Linked DNA regions of Callithrix jacchus. The protein of the gene in region 1 interacts with the protein of each later gene in a pairwise test. Links are inferred from orthologs where the notes say so. Each region holds a gene or a part of one and is shown on either strand. Other genes may lie near its edges.

Evidence for each region. The genes of interacting proteins can lie anywhere in the genome.
Region 2: the proteins of CIB3 (region 1) and SERTAD1 interact in binary tests that used the Homo sapiens proteins (3 or more experiments, as listed by UniProt). The two-hybrid records come from large-scale screens. The link is inferred for Callithrix jacchus from reciprocal best matches to the Homo sapiens genes CIB3 and SERTAD1.
Region 3: the proteins of CIB3 (region 1) and KLF17 interact in binary tests that used the Homo sapiens proteins (3 or more experiments, as listed by UniProt). The two-hybrid records come from large-scale screens. The link is inferred for Callithrix jacchus from reciprocal best matches to the Homo sapiens genes CIB3 and KLF17.

What each region holds. Positions count from the first base shown.
Region 1 is NC_133523.1:14,787,367-14,790,936, forward strand, and holds part of CIB3 (calcium and integrin-binding family member 3), read right to left. Parts: intron 2,187-3,570; coding exon 2,075-2,186; intron 791-2,074; coding exon 643-790; intron 1-642. UniProt on the Homo sapiens protein: Acts a an auxiliary subunit of the sensory mechanoelectrical transduction (MET) channel in hair cells. Plays a role in regulating hair cell MET channel localization and function.
Region 2 is NC_133523.1:35,982,799-35,986,816, reverse strand, and holds the start of SERTAD1 (SERTA domain-containing protein 1), read left to right. Parts: upstream 1-1,157; 5' UTR 1,158-1,283; intron 1,284-3,874; coding exon 3,875-4,018. UniProt on the Homo sapiens protein: Acts at E2F-responsive promoters as coregulator to integrate signals provided by PHD- and/or bromodomain-containing transcription factors. Stimulates E2F1/TFDP1 transcriptional activity.
Region 3 is NC_133508.1:80,798,977-80,803,027, reverse strand, and holds the start of KLF17 (Krueppel-like factor 17), read right to left. Parts: upstream 2,862-4,051; 5' UTR 2,788-2,861; coding exon 2,707-2,787; intron 1-2,706. UniProt on the Homo sapiens protein: Transcription repressor that binds to the promoter of target genes and prevents their expression. Acts as a negative regulator of epithelial-mesenchymal transition and metastasis in breast cancer.

The DNA.
Region 1 (3,570 bases):
CTCCATCTCAAACAAAACAAAACAAAACAAAAAAGAAGGAGCCAGGAGAGCCGGGCGCGGTGGCTCACACCTGTAATCCCAGCACTTTGGGAGGCCAAGGTGAGCAAATCACCTGAGGTCAGGAGTTCGAGACCAGCCTGGCCAACATGGTAGAACCCCATCTCTACTAAAAATACAAAAATTAGCCAGGCATGGTGGTGCATGCATGTAGTCCCAGCTACTCAGAAGACTGAGGCAGGAGAATCACTTGAACCTAGGAAGTGGAGGTTGCAGTGAGCCAAGATTGAGCCACTGCAATCCAGCCTGGGCAACAAGAGTGAAATTCCATCTCAAAAAAAAAAAATAAATAATATAAATAAATAAAGAAGGAACCAGGGGAAAGGTGTTCTAGGCAGAGAGTTTAGCAGAGGCAAAGGCCCAGAGGCCGAAAGAGTGTGGTGTGTTTGAGGAACAGCAAAGCCACTGTGGCTGGAATAGAGTTAGCAAAAAAATGAGGTGGGGAGGCATTGGAGTGGGGTGGAGGACCGGACCACACAGGGTCTCAAAGCCCTTGGGGAGATGTATGTGATGGAGGTGCCCCCCACCCAGTTCCCACTGTCCACCCCATGCTCATGATCCCCAACCCCGGGGCTGTGCACCTACCATAAATTTTAAAAGCATAGTAGGCCTTGAGGTCACGGGGAGCCATTTCGCTCATCACGGAAAACATGTCCAAAAAGTTATCTAAGGTCATGTGGCCATCCCCATCGTCAGAGAAGACCTGGGCGATCCTCTGGCGGAAGGGGTTATCCTGGGGAGAGAAAGGAAGCTGGGAGGCCATCTTCCGACACCCAGGGTCTCTAGGGCTCCATGTGGTTTCACTGTCAGCACCCATTTTATGGGAACCTCCAAGTACCCTCCGTCAAGACTCACTCTCTCCCACAGTTCCCGGACAGGACTTTGGACAACTCCACCTTCTTCTGCCCCTGTGGTCTGAGCAAACTTGACTCCCACTTCCAGCTCTTGGAGCAGCCATATTACCCAGGCAAGGCCAATCATAGAGTTCCATTCACCTGGCAACAGTGATTGGCTCTGGGATGGGCATGTAACTCAAATTAGCCAATCAGAGGCTGCCCTGGGACATTTTTCTGAAAAATTGGGAGGGAGAGGATCTGATTTCTGTTGCTTGCAGAGCTCACAGAAGCTAAAGCTGAGTGACTGAGAGGTCTTTTCACAGCCTCAAGAGGAGAGGCTCCCTGAGACTGAAACCTCTTCCAGGGAGAAGCCGAGAGATGGGGAAGATTCCTGAGCACATCATCAGAGCCCCTGGTTTCAGCCATGCCTGACACTGTCCCTGCCCCTGGATTTTTTTTGTTGTTGCTCAGGGGCGATCCATTCTGATCCAGTCCATTCTGTCCCTCTCAAATAAGGTTTTTGTCACTTCCAATAAAATCAATCCTACTCACAGTCACTCAATCCACGAGTTCCCCTCAAAGGCACAAATCATGTGTCAAACATCCTACTGAGAAAGCCTGCATTTAGCAGCTCCTGTTACAAAAAGAATTAACATTCTCTGAGTACTTGACATGCAACACACCCTGTACTGAGGTTTGTTTTTTGTTTGTTTGTTTTGAGACAGAGTCTCACTCTGTTGCCAGGCTGGAGTGCAGTGGTGCGATCTCCGTTCGCTGCAACCTCCACCTCCCAGGTTCAAGCAACTTTCCTGCCTCAGCCTCCCAAGTAGCTGGGACTACAGGGGTGTGCCACCATGCCCAGTTAACTTTTGTATTTTTAGTAGAGATGGGGTTTCAACATGTTGGCCAGGATGGACTCCATCTCTTGACCTCATGATCCACCCGCCTCGGCCTCCCAAAGTGCTGGGATTACAGACGTGAGCCACCACACTGGCGAGCTCTGGGTTTTAACGTTGCCTCTGTCGCATTGTAGCTGTGTGACCATGAACAAGTGTCTTAACCTCTCGGAGCCAGTTTTCTTATCTGTAAAATGAAGATAACTGCAACACCCACCTCATAAGAATGCAACGAGAGACATCTGTAGTAATTTTTCCCCTGCCTGTCCCATGGCCTGGGCATACCTTCAGCTCGGGCATGCTGCCAATGAGCTCGTAGGGCACCTTCACATCAGGACAGGTGGTATAGTCGAGGGGCACGAGCTGCGGGGCCAGGTCCTGGTACCGATGGAAGAGCCTGATGTGGGGAGAAAAAAGCTGAGAGAGGCTGGGGGCAGGGAGTAGGCAAGAGGCTTGTCCCTTTTTTGTTTTGTTTTGTTTGTTTGAGACGGAGTCTTGCTCTGTCGCCCAGGCTGGAGTGCAGTGCTTCGATCTCAGCTCACTGCAACCTCTGCCTCCTAGGTTCAAGCTATTCTCCTGCCTCAGCCCCCTGAATAGCTGAGATTACAGGTGCATCCCATCACGCCTGGCTAATTGTTTTGTATCTTTAGTAGAGATGGGTTTTCACCTTGTTGGTCAGGCTGGTCTCAAACTCTTGACCTTGGGTGATCCACTTGCTTTGGACTCCCAAAGTGCTGGGATTACAGGCCCGAGACACCGTGCCCAACCAAGTCCCTTCTCTTTCACATTCACAGCTGCCCACTGCAGACCAAGTGATACCAGGTCCTCAAGAACCCTCAGCCCTGGGCCTGGACCTCAAGCATACAGAGTCTGACACAGGCAACTCTACCTCCCTCGGGGCAGGACCAAGGTGCAGAGAGGGCCACAGGACACAGGGAGACTGGACTGGGGAAAGCAAGCTAGGGAGGAGAAGGGGGTTCCTGGAAGAGGGGACATTGGTGCTGGGCTTTGAAGCATGAGTAGGAGTTTATAAGGCAGATGAAGTTGGGAGAAGGGAGGGTGCTTATGGCCAGATCACAGCAAGCATTCAGACAATCCTACATAATTTACCATCTCTGGATATCATCATGTTATCAGCAAGATCCTGCCTCCAAAGATACCCTCATTTGTTTTCTTTTTCTTTCTTTCTTTTCTTTCTTTCTTTTTTTTCTTTCTTTCTCTCTCTTTTTTCTTTCTTCCTATTTCCTTCTTTCCTTCCTCCCTCCCTCCCTCCCTCCCTTCCTCTCTTCTTTCTTTCTTTCATGAAGTTTTCCTTTTGTTGCCTGGGGTAGAATGCAATGGTGTGATCTCAGCTCACCTCAACCTCCGCCTCCTGGGTTCAAGCGATTCTCCTGCCTCAGCTTCCTGAGTAGCTGGGATTACAGGCATGCGCCACCATGCCCAGCTAATTTTTTTTTTTTTTTTTTTTTTTTGGTATTTTTAGTAGAGACAGTGTTTCTCCATGTTGGTCAGGCTGGTCTCAAATTCCCTACTTCAGATGATCCGCCTGCCTCGGCTCCCAAAGTGCTGAAATTACAGGTGTGAGCTGCTGCGCCCGGCTGGTACCCTCATTTTCATATCTTCCCTTCCCCTCCTCATAATGGGAGGAAGGAGCTGGGTGCAGTGGCTCACTCCTGTAATCCCAGCACTTTGGGAGGTCAAGGCAGGAGGATCACCTGAGGTCAGGAGTTCGAGACCAGCCTGGCCAACATGGGAAATCCCATCTTTACTAAAAATACAAA
Region 2 (4,018 bases), about 21 Mb from region 1:
CTCTGTCATCCAGACTAGAGTGCAGTGGCACAATCTTGGCTAACTGCTACCTCTGCCTCCTGGGTTCAAGTGGTTCTCCTGCCTTATACTCCTGAGTAGCTGGGATTACAGGCACATGCCACCACGACCAGCTGATTTATTTTGTAGTTTTAGTAGAGACGGGGTTTCGCCATGTTGCCCAGGCGGGTTTCCAACTCTTGACCTCAGGTGATCCATCTGCCTTGGCCTCCCAAAGTGCTGGAATTATAGGCGTGAGCCACCACACTCAGCCCCAAACCATTTTTTATCTTTTCTTGACATTGAATTTCTGGCAAAATAGCCCAGTCGTGCTGTAGAGTGTCCCACATTCTGGATTTGTCTGACTGTGTTTAATTTGTTCCTCTCTATTGCCAGTAAACTGGAGGCTGAATCTAAAGGCCTGGGGAGATTCTGCTTATGCAGTGAACTGGGAGACTCCACAGGGTATGTCCTAATTCTTATTAATGTACTTCCTAATCCTAATGCATTATGGTAGGTGGCACCCAGTGTCCCGCCATTGGTAATGCAGAATTTCATTACATGATTAAGATTATGAGGGCTACATCATAAAAGGATTTCATCCTTTGCAGTTAGCAAATAACCTTTGAGATGATGCTTTAGAGCCTGTCAGGACCCTATCTCTAGACTGTGCTCTTATAGATACCATCCTATTTAAACTTTGCTGTGAAGAGGTAGGCAAGACTATCCTTATTTAACTTCGTGTAGCTTGGAGAGGTCGATCAGTTTTCCAAGGTCACAAATCTACTGAGTGGTGAATCCGGAGTCGGAATTTGAACCCGGGCATATCTGTAGTGTAGACCCCTGTCGGGGCGTGATGTGTAAGAACCTTAATTGCCATATTTGGCAGGTGCATGGGTAGTTGTGAGGGGCTCGTACTTTGAGAGGCAAAAGGCCCACCCGCCACCATTCCCCAGGGTAAAAAGCCACCTCTTTTCACCCTTCACTAGAGCAGCTGCCCGGGCATGCGCCCTGAAGCCAACCTCCCCTCCTTCAGAATCCGCCCCCTACAGGCTCCGCCCATCACCGTCCAGAGCCAATCCCTGGGGCGAAGGGAGGGGCAGCCACGAGAGTGGGCGTCGCTAAGGTTAGTTAGGAGTCTGGAGTCGTGCGCTCGAGTCAGAACTGCGTCTTGCGATCCAGGTGCCGGTTGCTGGAGGAGAGTGAGCAAGCGATGCTGCTGCCGCCGTTTCCTGATTGGCTGTGGATGGCTACCTCTTTGTTCTGATTGGCCGCTAGTGAGCAGGGTATGTAAATGAAGGGGCCTGGGGAGAGAAGGGGTGCCAGCGGCCGGGTCCTTTACGAAGTTCGATCCCTGGGTCCGACAGGTGCCCGTCTGGGCTGACCGGGATCGAGACACACGGGCCTCTATGTGCCGTCTGCCCCGGCCGGGCCGGGTGAATCACGCCGCAGCCCGAGAAGGGGGCGGAGGCGCCGGCTCCCTGGCTCCGGCTGCGTGACTCACCCGCCCCCGCCGCCGCCGCCGCTTCGGGAGGAGCCGCCTCCACTGCCGGAAGCGAGCGGAGGCCGGGCGCACAGAACAGCCCGCCGGGGGTCCCGGCTCTCACGGCCCCGGGAGGCCGGCAGGAATCACAGCCGGGAAGCGGGGCAGTAGGAGTCCTGGGGTCAGAGGGGCCAGAATCCCCGGGGGAAAGCCGGCCTGGGCACCGCTAGGGGGCGCCGGGACCCGGGGGCGGAGTCGGGGGTCGGGGGCGGAATTCCTGCGGTTCCTCACTCCTGGGACCGCGGGGAAGGGGACGGAGACCCAGTTTTGACTAGTGTGATGGTCCACTCTTAAGATCTTGCTAGGCAGGGTCCCGGGAACTGGACCCTGGACCCTTACTGGCCCAAAAAGGTAGGTAGCGCCAGGGGTCCAAAACTCCAACCCCACCCCCAGCCACTCCAAGAAGAGAGTGGGTCCTCAAACTTATCTCAGTGACTGACCCCAGTGCCCAGCACGATTTCCCGGCAAGCCCCGTCGATTCTGCCTCCCAAATAAATCGTGACTCGACCGACTTCCTTCCATACACTACCAGCTCCTCCTCCAGGCCATCACCATCGTCCGTCCCAACCGAGTACAGCTTACCAGTGGTTCTCAGATTCCCCCTCTTCCTCCCCTCCCCCCAGTCTTCCTCAAAGCAGCCATGGGGGGACGGAAACCCAGTCAGCTCACAACACCACTCCCCTCCCTGCTCAAATTCCTTTAATGACCGCCCACCACGCTCATGATAAAATACAGACTCCCTACTTCTGCATATGTGGCTTTCTGTGACCTGGCTGGTGCCCGTTTCCTCTGCTGCTCCCCAATCTGGTCTCCTACCATGTCACTCTCTGTATGCCAGGCATGCTAGTCTCTTTCAGTTCAAGCCCATCCAGCCTCTGGGTCTTTGGTTGCCTTTTTTTGTTGATCCCTCCTCCCAGAATCCTTTTCCCAGGGGGTCTCCCTTGGCTGACTTCTCTGGCCTGAGGGCTCCATTCAAATGTCACCTCCTCTCGGGAGCCTCCTCTGATCATCTGAAAGGTCTCCAGGACCTTTTAGTGTCTTCCTGTAATTCTCTGTACATTTCCTGTGTTTGCTTATTTATTTACTGTTTGAAATATATAGTAGACAATAAATATTAAACTATGTGAAACTAGTTTAGTATTTATAATTTATACATAATTACTTATAATAAACTATGTGAAACAGCTGCTTTTGTAGGGGAAAGGTGAATATTGGCCATTCCACATGGTTCACTGAAGACATTATAATGTTATCATTAAGAGTATTTATTGGTGGTCTGGGCGAGGTGGCTCACACCTGTAATCCCAGCACTTTGGGAGGCCTAGACAGGCAGATCGTGAGCGCGGTCAGGAGTTTGAGACCAGCCTGGTCAACATAGTAAAACCCTGTCTCTACTAAAAATACAAAAATTAGTGGGCGTGGTGGCGGGTGCCTGTAATCCCAGCTACTGGGGAGGCTGAGGCAAGAGAATTGTTTGAACTTGGGAGGCAGAGATTGCAGCGAGCCGAGATCTCGCCATTGTACTCCAGCCTGGACAACAAGAGAGAAAAATTGTCTCTCAAAAAAAAAAAAAAAAAAGGTGTGGCAGCTCAGTTATAATACCAGCACTTTGGGAGGCTGAGGCGGGAGGATGGCTTGAGGCAAGGAGTTTGACACCCTGAGCAACATAGTGAGACCCTGTCTCTACAAAAAATAAAAGGAGAAAGAAAAAAGAGTACTTATTGACTGACGCAGGAGGATTGCTTCAGGCTAGGAGTTTGAGACCAGCCTGGGCAACAAAGTGAGACACCATCTCTATTTTTTTAAATAAAGAAGTCCATAAATATACTTTATAAAATATAAAATACAAAATGTAAGAAGTCTATAGGCTGGGTGCGGTGGCTCACGCCTGTAATACGAGCACTTTGGAGGTCGAGGTAGGCAGATCACTTGAGGTCAGGAGTTTGAGACCAGCCTGGGCAACATGGTGAAACCCCATCTCTACCAAAAATACAAAAATTAGCCGGGCGTGGTGGCTTATAGCTACTCGGGAGGCTGAGGAACGAGAATCACTTAAACCCGTGAGGCAGAGGTTGCAGTGAGCTGAGATCATGCCATTGCACTCCAGCCTGGGCAACAGAGCGAGACTCCATCTCTTAAAAAAAAAAAAAGTCTATAAATATACATCTACAATTAAATAAAAATTGCCTATATCTTTAAAGTTCCCTAACAAAAGCTAGGCACAGAGACGCTAAGTGACTTGCCAAAGATCCTACCTGCAGCAGCTGTCAGATCCAGGCTTTGAACTTGACATTTGTTTTCCATAACTTGACTTTAACTCCCTGCTCTCTGCAGATGCTGAGCAAGGGTCTGAAGCGGAAGCGGGAGGAGGAGGAAGAGAAGGAATCTCTGGCAGTCGACGCCTTGTGGCTGGATCCTGGCCACGCAGCGGTGGCACAGGCACCTCCGGCTGCAGCCTCTAGCTCCCTCTTTGACCTC
Region 3 (4,051 bases), on another chromosome or scaffold:
AATTAATCATTTATTCTGCCTCTCCAAGAAAAAAATTATTTCAAAATTACCAAATGACTACAGTTAAAACCTTCTTCCTACTTTACAGAAGAATACAAACTAATAAATGTAGAATGAATGGTGGAATTTGAAAATTTATTTTGCGACCATATGCAGTGGCTTGCGCCTGTAATCCCAACTACTGGGGAGGCTGAGGCACGAGAATTGCTTGAACATGGGAGGCAGAGGTTGCAGTGAGCCGAGATCACACTACTGCACTCCAGCCTGGGAACAGAGTTGGACTGTCTCAAAAAAAAAAAAAAAAAGGAAAATAAAATTTATTTTGTAACCCCTAAGGAAATTTGAGGAAAAATTTAAACTTAGTGTTAAAGCCAGTAGGTGACCCTGGCCAGGTATGGTGACTCATGTCTGTAATCCCAGAACTTTGGGAGGCCAAGGCTGATGAATCATGAGGTTAGGAGATCAAGACCATTCTGGCCAACATGGTGAAATCCTGTCTCTCTACTAAAATACAAAAAATTATCCAGGCATGATGGATGGTGCATGCCTGTAGTCCCAGCTACTCAGGAGGCTGAGGCAGGGGAATTGCTTGAACCCAGGAGGCAGAGGTTGCAGTGAGCTGAGATTGCACCACTGCACCCCAGTTTGGCAACAGCAAGATTCCGTGTCAAAAAAAAAAAAATTAGGTGAATGGCTGGTAGAGTACTGGACAATGGATACATACAAGGGAGAATCACACAGATTACTTTCTGACCACAGGGTAAACCTTAATAGAAAGCTTAATTAGGCTTTTCACTACCTTAATACAAGTATCACCAGATTCGGGTAACCAGATGTATCTCCTGATGTAATGCAAGATGAGGCCTACCGTACACGAGGCACTCTTGCCAAAAATCTTGAATCCAATTAAGCTGTAAGATCTAATCCTAATTAAAGGTAATACAAGTGACAGAAGATAAAGCTAAATTATCACGAGGAAGCAATCTGATATCTCCAAAAGAAACATCCTGTAACACAAAAGTTAGCATTATGAAAAACCTAATCTCAATCATGAAAAAATAAAACTATTCTTCTAACTTCAGAGACTCAAGGGACATAATCACCAGATGCAGTGTGCAGTCTTAAATTCTGGTTTGAACAAACCAGCTACAAAGTATCTTTAGGAATAGCTAGGGGCATTTGCATAAGGCTGCATCTAAGATGATTTAAAGGAATAATCAGCTGGGCGAGGCAGCTCATGCCTGTAATCCCAGTACTTTGAGAGGCTGAGGCAGGTGGATCCACTTGAGGGCAGAAGCTAGAGACCAGCCTGACTAACTTAGCAAAACACCTCTACTAAAAATACAAAAAATTAACTGGGCGGAGTGGCACACACCTGTAATCCCAGGTACTTGGGAGGCTGAGGCATGAGAATCGCTTGAACCTGGGAAGTAGAGGTTGCAGTGAGCCCAGATCACACCACTGCACCCCAGCCTGGACAACAGAGCCAAGACCCCGGCTCTCTCTATATATGATATATCATATATTAAAGTAATATATTAATTATTAATATATTAAATAATAAAAATAATATATCCAATTTTGATAGGTTTGATTATGTGGTTTTGGCTATAGATCAAATGTTCTTTTTTAAAAAAAACCCTAGAAGAGTTGGGAAGATCTTGTTTTATTTTTTAATATAATGAATTTTAGAGACACCTGGATTATCACAAAAGCTTTCTAACTATTGTCCTTGAATCCAGCCCACATCCACCAGGGCACTCCTTTGAAAATGCAAATCTAATGGAGCCAGATCATGTTTAAACTCATCAAGGGCTTCCTACTGCTCTTGGAATAAGCAAGCCCTGAATGACCTTAATGGTGTCTCTGGGCGCTCCCCCACCCCACCACCCCTCCCCCCATCACTGTCTAGACACTGGTCTTTCAGTTCCTCCTAAGAGGAAGCAGCCACCTCTGGTCTCAGACCTGAAAAACCTTCACTTGACCAGTTCTGTTCTCTAGTCCCAGACCAGATTCTCAGCTGTCTCCTAAGCTCCCAAATCAGGTCAAACACCTCCGGTATCTGTTCCCATGCACCCACGACTTCTCCTTCTCGTATGCTGTACATTTCCAATCATTCAGCTAATGATTTATTTATTTATTTATTTATTTTTAGAGACGGGGTTTCACCATGTTTGCCAGGCTGGTCTTGAACTCCTACCCTCAAGTGATTCACCCGCCTCGGCCTCCCAAAGTGCGGGGATACAGGATTGAGTGCCTGGCCTCAGCTAATGATTTATTAATAAAATTTTATATCTATCTGTTTTATGGTAAATTCATCATCATATTCCAAGGGTCCGGCAAAAGCCTACCACTTAGTAGGGCTCCAATTAACATTTTCGGTTTTTTTTTCCTGGTCGTTTTCTGCTCACTTCCTAACCTGATATTTGCTGTTCTGCCTACTCACGTCCCTCGCCAGAAAGTTGCCTGGAACCTTCTTACCCTCCACGCGCCCAACACGAGCTCTACTGCTGGGCGAACATTATTGGAATAAACGACGTATGATACACCTCAATCTTCCAACCCTCCCTTTCCACCCTTCCCTTGCAACCCCTCCCCTCGGGTTTCTGCTTCCCTCGCCTCCCCTCTCCTCCACGGCCTCCCCGCCCCGCCGGCCCCCACCCCGCCTGGCCCTCCCGGCCTGCCAGGGGCTGACACCTGACTCACCTGGGCGGCCTCGTGCGCCGCCTGCCACCGGCTCAGCTCCCCAGTCTCCTGCTCCATTTCAGCCTGCGCGCGGCTGTACATGAAGACTTGGTGAGGTCTATGCTGTCTCCTGAACAGACGGGGCACCTGCCACCACGGCGTCTCAAGCGGGTATCGGGACATCACCACGCCACAATCACCTTCTATTTACCTATTTACAGCTGCGCCAGGGGGCGGAGTCAACCCCACCCATCCCTCCCTGCGCCGACCCCGCCCTGCCCCAGGCCACCCACGGGCCCTCAGCAAGCCCCAACCAAGGCAGCGTCACTGACGGCCACCGTAGGCCTTGACCGCTTCTTAAAGGAATTTTGTCCGCCCACCAAAACCACCCATTCCACCCTTCAGTCTGAGCTACCGTTTCACCCAAGTGGAAGCTGGGGACGCGCAGGTCTCAGACTTCAGCCAGGAGGAGGCTGGAGAGAGAGGCAAGGCCGGGTGTAGGGCCTTCTGCTGAGAGGAGAGCCTCTGCCAGCACTCTACCAGGTCGGGATCTTGCCATAAACTTTGGGAGGGCTGGAGCTTTTCTGCTATAGGCCGGACACCTCTGTCCCTTGTCTGTACAAAAACTGACGACTGGGAGCTTCATGGCACAACCTATTTATTCTGCAGTGTTTACTGAGTGCCCAGTATGTGTTGGGCCCTGATCTCAGAATTAGGAGTAAAATGGTAAACAGGAAGAACAAAGTCCTTGCTGGCAATCTCCATCTTACATGGGCAGACAAGAAATGAGTAATAAAGCTCATAACTATTATCATTTTAGATGGTGATGAGTGCTATGGAAAACCGAAACAGAGAAATGTGAGCTCAAAGCTACATGCCTCAAAGGAACCAGCCAGAGAAAGGTCCAAAGGCTCTAAGGCAAGAAAGAGCCGGACAGTGCTAGAAGGCAATTGAAGGCAGGGCAACCACAGTGATACCACAAGGGCAGTGACATGAGGACAGAGGGGTAGGGCCTTGAGGACCATAGAAAGGAGTTTGGATTTTATTCTAAGTGTGATGGGAAAGCACTGATGGATGTTAAACAGGAAATTGGTATGATCTGATATATGTTTTTAAAATAAACCATCTGGCTCCTCATCGATTATAAAGGGCGAGAGGGATGCAGAGAGAGCAGTCAGAAATCTAAAGGAGCAGCTGGGTGCGGTGGCTCATGCCTGTAATCCCAGCATTTTGGGAGGCCAAGGCAGGCGGATGATGAGGTCAGGAGTTCAAGACCAGCCTGCCCAACATGGTGAAACCCCATCTCGACTAAAAATACAAAAATTAGCAGGGCATAGTGCCACATGCCTGTAATCCCAGCTACTCA